Xenopus tropicalis: one gene and its partner. The protein of the gene in region 1 purifies or fractionates together with the protein of each later gene. This does not show direct contact. Links are inferred from orthologs where the notes say so. Each region holds a gene or a part of one and is shown on either strand. Other genes may lie near its edges. The genes, in order: klf11 and sin3a.

What was found.
Region 2: the proteins of klf11 (region 1) and sin3a purify together in Homo sapiens (affinity purification with western blotting, with the first as the bait; 3 studies listed by BioGRID). This does not show direct contact. The link is inferred for Xenopus tropicalis from reciprocal best matches to the Homo sapiens genes KLF11 and SIN3A.

What each region holds. Positions count from the first base shown.
Region 1 is NC_030681.2:138,138,845-138,143,229, reverse strand, and holds the start of klf11 (Krueppel-like factor 11), read right to left. Parts: upstream 2,822-4,385; 5' UTR 2,656-2,821; coding exon 2,644-2,655; intron 1,459-2,643; exon of another isoform or gene 770-1,458; intron 1-769. UniProt on the Homo sapiens protein: Transcription factor. Activates the epsilon- and gamma-globin gene promoters and, to a much lower degree, the beta-globin gene and represses promoters containing SP1-like binding inhibiting cell growth.
Region 2 is NC_030679.2:93,407,590-93,411,409, forward strand, and holds part of sin3a (paired amphipathic helix protein Sin3a), read left to right. Parts: intron 1-493; coding exon 494-612; intron 613-1,020; coding exon 1,021-1,231; intron 1,232-2,476; coding exon 2,477-2,593; intron 2,594-3,358; coding exon 3,359-3,597; intron 3,598-3,820. UniProt on the Homo sapiens protein: Acts as a transcriptional repressor. Corepressor for REST. Interacts with MXI1 to repress MYC responsive genes and antagonize MYC oncogenic activities. Also interacts with MXD1-MAX heterodimers to repress transcription by tethering SIN3A to DNA.

The DNA of each region.
Region 1 (4,385 bases):
CAGCCTGCGCCCCTAAATGTGCTGCCGGCAGCCTGGATTAGTGCAGGAGGCAAAATTTCTACCTAAAAAAACACTGCTCATTACTGAGGGAGCAAAGTCATGTGACCCGTCCCCCCCCTTTCCCTTCTCCTTCATAATGGCACGTAGTCTATGGCAGCAGAGAAGGGGCCAACCCCTGACCTTTGATACCTGTCCAGATGCGGGGGATCGCTTCTAACAGGAACATCTACACTCCAGCTAATGCTGAACTACAACTCCCAGAATCCCTTAACAGCCTTATCATTAAAAAAAAAACTGTCTAAATTGAAGCAAAATGTCAGACACCAGCTGTGACTATCTGCTCCTGCTATTGCCAGGCTGATTGTGCAGCTGAAGCGCTGGGGATACACAGGAATTAATATGAATATAGAACTTTCCCAGCCCTATATTTCTGCATGTCTCCCGAGTGTAGAGGACAGGCCACCTTTCCCCCCTCTGTATATACAGCATGTTGGGAGTTGTTACATGATAAAAGCCAAATAGAACCATCACACAATGAGTTACTTGGGAAGCCATTCATGTTCCACCCCATACTAACAGCACTATATACATAGGCTAACATGGGCTTCTGGGAGTTATAGTTCTTGCACAGCCACATATTCCTCATCCCAGATCTGGGTTTTACCATATAAAATGTGATTATTACTCTAATTCATTGTAACCCAACTACAAGGAAAACGGGATATTTCTTTTAACCCAACGCCCCCTACAGGAGACTGAGCCCACTCACAGGCACCCCGGCACCACTCTGTAACTGGTATCTCCCCACAGTCACAAGACCATTGTAACAAACAAGTGAGGAGATGCTGTTTGGCGAGGCCACACCCCGTTCAGTTTCGGTGCAGGTCAGCTGACTGGCGCCCCTCTCCTCACAGGATGTTTGTCACTTTCTGTACGTGCGGGGCTCAGGCTGAGCAGTGAGTGGGAGTTCTGCGCTGTAATGTTCCCACAGAATGTACCCATGCCTGCTCTCTCAGAGCCCTATAGCACATATACACACACTTATTCCCTTTGTCACTTTCAGCAATCCGCAAAAACAATAAAACGCAACAAGCTTTAGTCTTCCCGCCCACCCTCTAGCCCTGCCTCCAAGGGGGCGGTGCTTCGGGGGCCAAATATAGCACCGAAAGACGTCATGCATTAAAATAGCCATGTGAAGAGGGCGGGCACATGCGAATAGGGGAGGAGCCGGAAGTGGAGGGGGCGTGCCTAAGCGGCACAGGGGCTGGCTCTCAAGTCAAAATTCGCCTGGAAGCCGCTTGAGGGGATAACGCTGAAGCAGGGCGATTTCCCGTACCCGCTAGCAGGTATTTTGACATCCGGTGTAGGAAATAGCCCGTATTCTCATCACTGGGCAGAAGCCACTAACAGTTCCATTGTATGAAACATCCGAACGTACTGAAGCGATTTCTGCCCCCAGTCAGATTATATCATATTAGGAGCACCACGCAGCAATTGCCTGATTGCATCCCTCTCAGCTGCCTCATAGCATAACAGGCTGTACAGAGCCAGCACCAACAGCCACTGTAACCATTAGCTCCTCCAATGCACGTCTGCATGCAGCCATTACAGCAAGAACAGCACTGCCAGGGCAGTGGGACACACACATAGGGACCCATACACCCAGGGGTGCCCACCCTGTGGCCCCTTCCTCTGCTCAACTACGTACAGCTCTCTGAGGGGTCTGGGATTTGTAGTTGAACAACTGTTGCTGGGTGACTTATCCTGATAATATACTTAGGAACCATACACTGATTACTATATATACCCACAGCAGAATGAACCTCACACAGATAGTACTTGGATAGCCCTCTATGCCCATGTACATATACCCCTAACAATAAGCAGGGTACCCATATACACATATATAGGGTGACAATAAGCAGGGTACCCATATATAGGTAACTATAAGCAAAGTGCCTATATATAGGGTAACTACAATCAGGGTTCCCATATCCACATATTTAGGGTAACACTAAGCAGGGTGCCTATATACGCATCAATACGGTAACACTAAGACGTTTTCCATATACATATATATGGCAGCAATAAGCAGGGTGCCTATATACACACATCAATAGAGTAACACTAAGAGGGTGCCCATATACATAGGGTAACACTAAGCAGGGTGCCTATATACACATCAATAGGGTAACACTAAGAGGGTGCCCATATACATAGGGTAACACTAAGCAGGGTGCCTATATACACATCAATAGGGTAACACTAAGGGGATACAGGGGTAACAATAAGCAGGGTGCCTATATACACACCAATAGGGTAACACTAAGAGGGTGCCCATATACATAGGGTAACAATAAGCAGGGTGCCTATATACACATCAATAGGGTAACACTAAGGGGATACAGGGGTAACAATAAGCAGGGTGCCTATATACACACCAATAGGGTAACACTAAGAGGGTGCCCATATACATAGGGTAACAATAAGCAGGGTGCCTATATACACATCAATAGGGTAACACTAAGAGGGTGCCCATATACAAATATATAGGGTATCATTAGAAATACATAGGAAGCCCTCCAATGTACCTACTCACACAGAGCCTAAAAACCCACAAAGGGAATAGGATAAATGCCTTACCGAGTCCTGCATGTCGGCACTGGATACAGTCAGCATTGTGGGCTCTGATAGACCGTAAGTAATGGATTAGAGGCTCCTACTCTATAACAAAGGATGGAGATGGAGCAGCAGGTCCCGGTGCCGCCCGCCAGAGCCAGGCTGCTCATGAGCAATAACAAGCTGCTTCTTTGCATTGGGGATGTACCTCGTCATGTTGCATGGGAGGGCCGGCTCCAACACTCACACACACAGCCGCACCGGGGGAGGAGGGAGGCGGAGGAAGCTAGGTGAGGACAGAAAGCTGCTCCAGGAGGAAAGGGAGACAACAGCCAATGAGAGCGCAGCCGGCCTCCACCCCAGCCAATGAGAGCGCAGCCGGCCTCCACGCCAGCCAATGGGAGCAGGCTTTAGTGCGTGATCAGCTCGTGCAGGAGACATGCACCCAGGGCGGGACGTGTCTGACAGAGCCGGGCCCTACTGTGGGCTCCACTGTGGGACATGGAAAGTAGGGGAAAGGTCGTGCCGCTGGGAAGGGGAGGAGCGTCTGGGGGAGAGTCCGGGGCAGGGGCGTGGCTGTCACTCAGGGACCGCCCACATTCCTCAAAATAATCCTACAAACACACTGCTGGTTAGCGGGGCAGGCGTTGTGTTTATGGTGTGTGTAGGGCTGCGCTGCTATATATGGGAGGCAGCATGGCAGCTGGGAAGGGGCGAACTCACTGACCCAGAGCAAAGGTCTCAGGTTTATTAGGACTTTAAACTAAGCGTGTTTAGCGAGGCAAATGGAACGCAGGCATTGAACCCACTGACCCACAGGCACCGTGCTGCTCTCTATACATAGTGCTGCTATCTGTATAGCCTCCCTGCTAGCTCTACCCGCCTATACATAGTGCTGCTATCTGTATAGCCTCCCTGCTAGCTCTACCCGCCTATACATAGTGCTGCTATCTGTATAGCCTCCCTGCTAGCTCTACCCGCCTATACATAGTGCTGCTATCTGTACAGCCTGGCTCTTTATATACCATGCTTATAGCTCTACCCGCCTATACATAGTGCTGCTATATACCATGCTTATAGCCTAACCGCCTATACATAGTGCTGCTATATACCATGCTTATAGCCTAACCGCCTATACATAGTGCTGCTATATACCATGCTTATAGCCTAACCGCCTATACATAGTGCTGCAATCCGTACAGCCTGGCTCTCTAAATACCATGCTTATAGCCTAACCGCCTATACATAGTGCTGCTATCTGTACAGCCTGGCTCTCTATATACCATGCTTATAGCCTAACCGCCTATACATAGTGCTGCAATCCGTACAGCCTGGCTCTCTATATACCATGCTTATAGCCTAACCGCCTATACATAGTGCTGCTATCCAAATAGCCTCCTGCCTTGCTCTCTATATATCATGCTTTCAGCCTAATTGCCTCTACATAGTGTTAGTTGCTCTCTATATATCATGCCTGCTTGGCTCTCTATACACCATGAGAACAAAGGTCACTACATTTTGTGATGTGTGCTTTTATGTTTCATCCTTGTTCATGGCATCCTAGGAAGTGGCCTTCAGTTCACTGACTCTCTTACTCACATACCCAAAGAGATGCTATTGTTGGCTACCCATAGAGGTGACACAATAAGCTGCCTGTGATCTATTCACAAGCAGCCAATCACTATAAGCCTTTCAGGAATATCAGCTAAAAAATCTGTTGGGGCTTGTCTTGTATGTCTTCTCCAGTTACTGGTCCAACTAAGCGA
Region 2 (3,820 bases), on another chromosome or scaffold:
ATGAGGCATTTTAACTGCTTCTGTTTACAGACTTTTTATAATACCCCATGTATCATAGACTTTAGTGCAGTGGTTGACTTTTCAGTCCACAGTTCAGACCCCACTAGGTGACCCAACCCTTTGCCATGGTCCTTCTTAAGGTCCATCCTTTGATCAGGCCCCCCCTTAGCTCAAGAAATGAGTACAGATCTAAGAGAAGTGTATCAATAATTCAGGATGGCATGCATATTCATCCCAAATGTCATCCTAATTGACCTTCAAGTTGAGCTTTCAGGTGTATTTGTGTTATAAAGGAACAGTTAAATAATGAACCTTCATGAAATAAACACTTGCATGCACTAAACTGACAATTTATTTGCACAACACAAATCTTTTTAAAATATTAAAAGTATTTGACACACAATCAGAAACAGACCTTTTTTTTTGTCCACTTTGTTAATTACTTCTGAATGCTCATGTAAAGGGAAATTTATTCTCACTTTTTTTTCTTTAGGTTCGGAAGGCTCTGCGGAGTGGGGAGGCATACGATAACTTCTTGAGATGTCTGGTGATCTTTAATCAAGAAGTAATTTCCCGGTCAGAGCTAGTTCAACTGGTGTCCCCATTCCTAGCGTAAGTTATAGATTGGTATTTATCATGAAGTAAACTTAAGCTACAACCCACAACATGTCTGTGTTTAATGGGCATTGTTTGCACATCTTAATTTTCATGTTTTTATTGGCAGTCATGCTCCAGCATCATAAATCATGTCTGTTTCATTGCATTGATAAGATGATTAAAACATGCTAACTATACAAAGAACATATGATCACACTGATTTTCAGTTGTTTAATCCAGATAATTTAGGATTTGTGGTAAAATAAGTTTAAAATAGTAAGTAATTTCTTGTTTGCTGCAGTAGAAATCTCTTCCATTACAGCTACATTGTGGGGTGGTTCTTTTAAATATTTAGTTAAACTTTTGTTATTTCTTCTCTTCTTTTATGCATTGTTGACACTTTTTTTCCCTCTTCCCCAATAGTAAGTTCCCAGAGCTGTTCACATGGTTTAAAAATTTCTTGGGTTACAAAGAGTCCTCACATTTGGAGAGTTTCCCTAAAGAGAGAGCTACTGAGGGTATTGCCATGGAGATTGACTACGCCTCATGTAAGCGTTTGGGGTCAAGCTACCGAGCCTTGCCCAAAAGCTTCCAGCAGCCAAAATGCACTGGCAGGACACCACTCTGTAAAGAGGTAAGATCCTTAGGGATAGGCAGTGTTTATGAATTAACTATAATTAAGACTGTGTATTCTTTGCATCAGATGTAAGGGTTTTGCCACATGGAGACGCACGTCTAGAATCCACCCCTGCTTTTCAAAAATATTATTAATGTGCCTGCACCTTGTGCTATTTTGTCAGCCTGGGTGCAGGCATGTGAAGCGGAATTCAGTGCGAAACTGCATACTACAGCAGTTTTGAGCCATATTCCATTACATTTTCCTGCATCCAGGCTGTTGCAGTGGCTTCGGGTGCATGCACATCAGTAAGATTTTTCAGGTGCAGGCACATGGAGGGAATTCGGTGCAAAACTGTTTGAATATGCAGTTTTGTGCCTTATTCCACTCCAGGTGCAGGTACATCAATAAGATTTTTTGAGCGTAGGGGTGAATAAACACAGGCCGAGAATCTGCCCTGTGTGGCAGAGCCCTATGACTTTCATACACAACCAGGGAATGTTAGAGAAGATCATTTAGGCTGTTTTCTTAGTTCTAAGATAATTTTTACTTCTTACAAAGAAAATGTGACTATAAACATACAAAAAAAAATATGCTCACCAAAAAAGTGTATCAAAGTTAATCAACCATGCACTACATGTTTTGAGCTTTTTCCCACAAATGACAGTGTTCTAAACTCTGTTGCTAAATCATTAAGACCGCTTCTCATCTTTGTATCTGGGGGGGTGGGGATTGTTAGATTTCTTGAAGTTCCCCCAAACAACAGTGATGTTGCAAAGTAAAAGACTAAATTAAATCCTGCCCATTTGTATGTAAACCTAATTTCTTCTTCATTAATAGGTGTTGCTAAATGCATTTATCTTGAAACACCTTTTTTTTTTTTTTTTTTTTGATAGTACTAGGAATAAAAACTTTTGCTTGTTATATTTGATATCATTAAGAGATGCTGCTGAGAATTGTAGAAATGTAGCAGATTATAATAGTCTGCACCTGACATACTGAGCTGCTTACTGAGCTGCTAGTCTAAAAGAGAGAGGAACATTGAAATACAAACATTTTAGAAAACAAAAAAAAAACTAAAAATGTTTTTTTATTTTTGGTGTAGTATCTGAAACAAACCAAATTGATAAATTGTTTGGAAGGTGAACAAAACCAATGTAGGTCTTTCTTTCTAAAATTTAAAATAATTATGAAATTAAAGCTATTACCCAATTTGCAAAACTTATATAGCTTAATAATAACTACCTTTTTTTCTGTGCATAGGTTTTAAATGACACTTGGGTGTCTTTTCCTTCCTGGTCAGAAGACTCTACTTTTGTGAGCTCTAAAAAGACACAGTATGAGGAACACATTTACCGATGTGAAGATGAGAGATTTGAGGTAAGAGTGTTTGTTGAATTATCATGTTATTTCTTTATTACCTTGACATGTTTAAGATTTTATACTATCATTTATTCTTTTTTCTTTCATCTTACATTTCTAAAAAGGTGCTATATGTAATCAGTGCAGAGTCATGGAGAATCTGTGTTTTTTTTTTTTTTTTTTTTACCAAATCATTTTACTCTTGTTAATAGCTATTTCTTTTAGCAGTGATATCTGAAACCCACATGTATTTCTGTAACATGTTAAGTCTTGACATCATCATAAATTGTAATATGTGTTACCTGTGAGATAAGCCTTTCATTTTACTGCTGCGAAGCCAGCTTCTACAATGTTTGTGGGAGTAGAATAGTTTTTAATGCATGTCAATAGAAATTTGAGTGGAAAGGGATACATTTAAAGGGATATTAAGAGATCTATAGTAACTAACATAGTAACAATTTTCAAAAGAAATAAACACACAAACCACTAATTTTAACCATGGTTAGAGATCCAAACGTTCCCTTTTGATACATGAAAGAATTTTTGAATCCTTTATTTCCAGTAGACAGTTGGTACTGTCTGTAATTAAAATTATTGATCTGGTATTCTCCATTAGTTCAGTGCAGAAATCGTTACTTCTACTTTTGGCTTAAAAAAGTTATGTATTTGAATGCACACAAAAAAAAAACACAATTATATGTAATTTTACCACACAACATTTACTGGTACCTATCATTGCCTTCCAGTTAAAAGCAAAATATAATTCTCTGTTACCTTTGTCAGTTGGATGTGGTTTTGGAAACCAACCTGGCTACCATTCGTGTTCTGGAGACTATCCAGAAGAAACTTTCACGGCTTTCTGCAGAGGACCAGGCCAAATTCAGGCTGGACAATACACTTGGAGGAACATCTGAGGTCATCCACCGCAAGGCTCTGCAGAGGATATATGCAGACAAAGCTGCCGATATAATAGATGGTCTAAAGAAAAACCCTGCTGTCGCTGTACCCATTGTTCTAAAGAGGTAAGTGCCTTGCAAATGTGATTTCAAAAGGTCAATAAAATGCTAAACAGAGTTGGATCATATAAGGGCAATAAAATGCTAAGCTGCCTTTGGGGACTTTGGTAAGGACAAGCAGGGGAGCCTGAACTGCTTTGAAATGTCAGGATTTGTCGGGAAATGTCAGGATTTGGGTGGATCAGAGGCAGTGTTAGGTTGAGATTTACCAATATTCAAGTTTCATTTT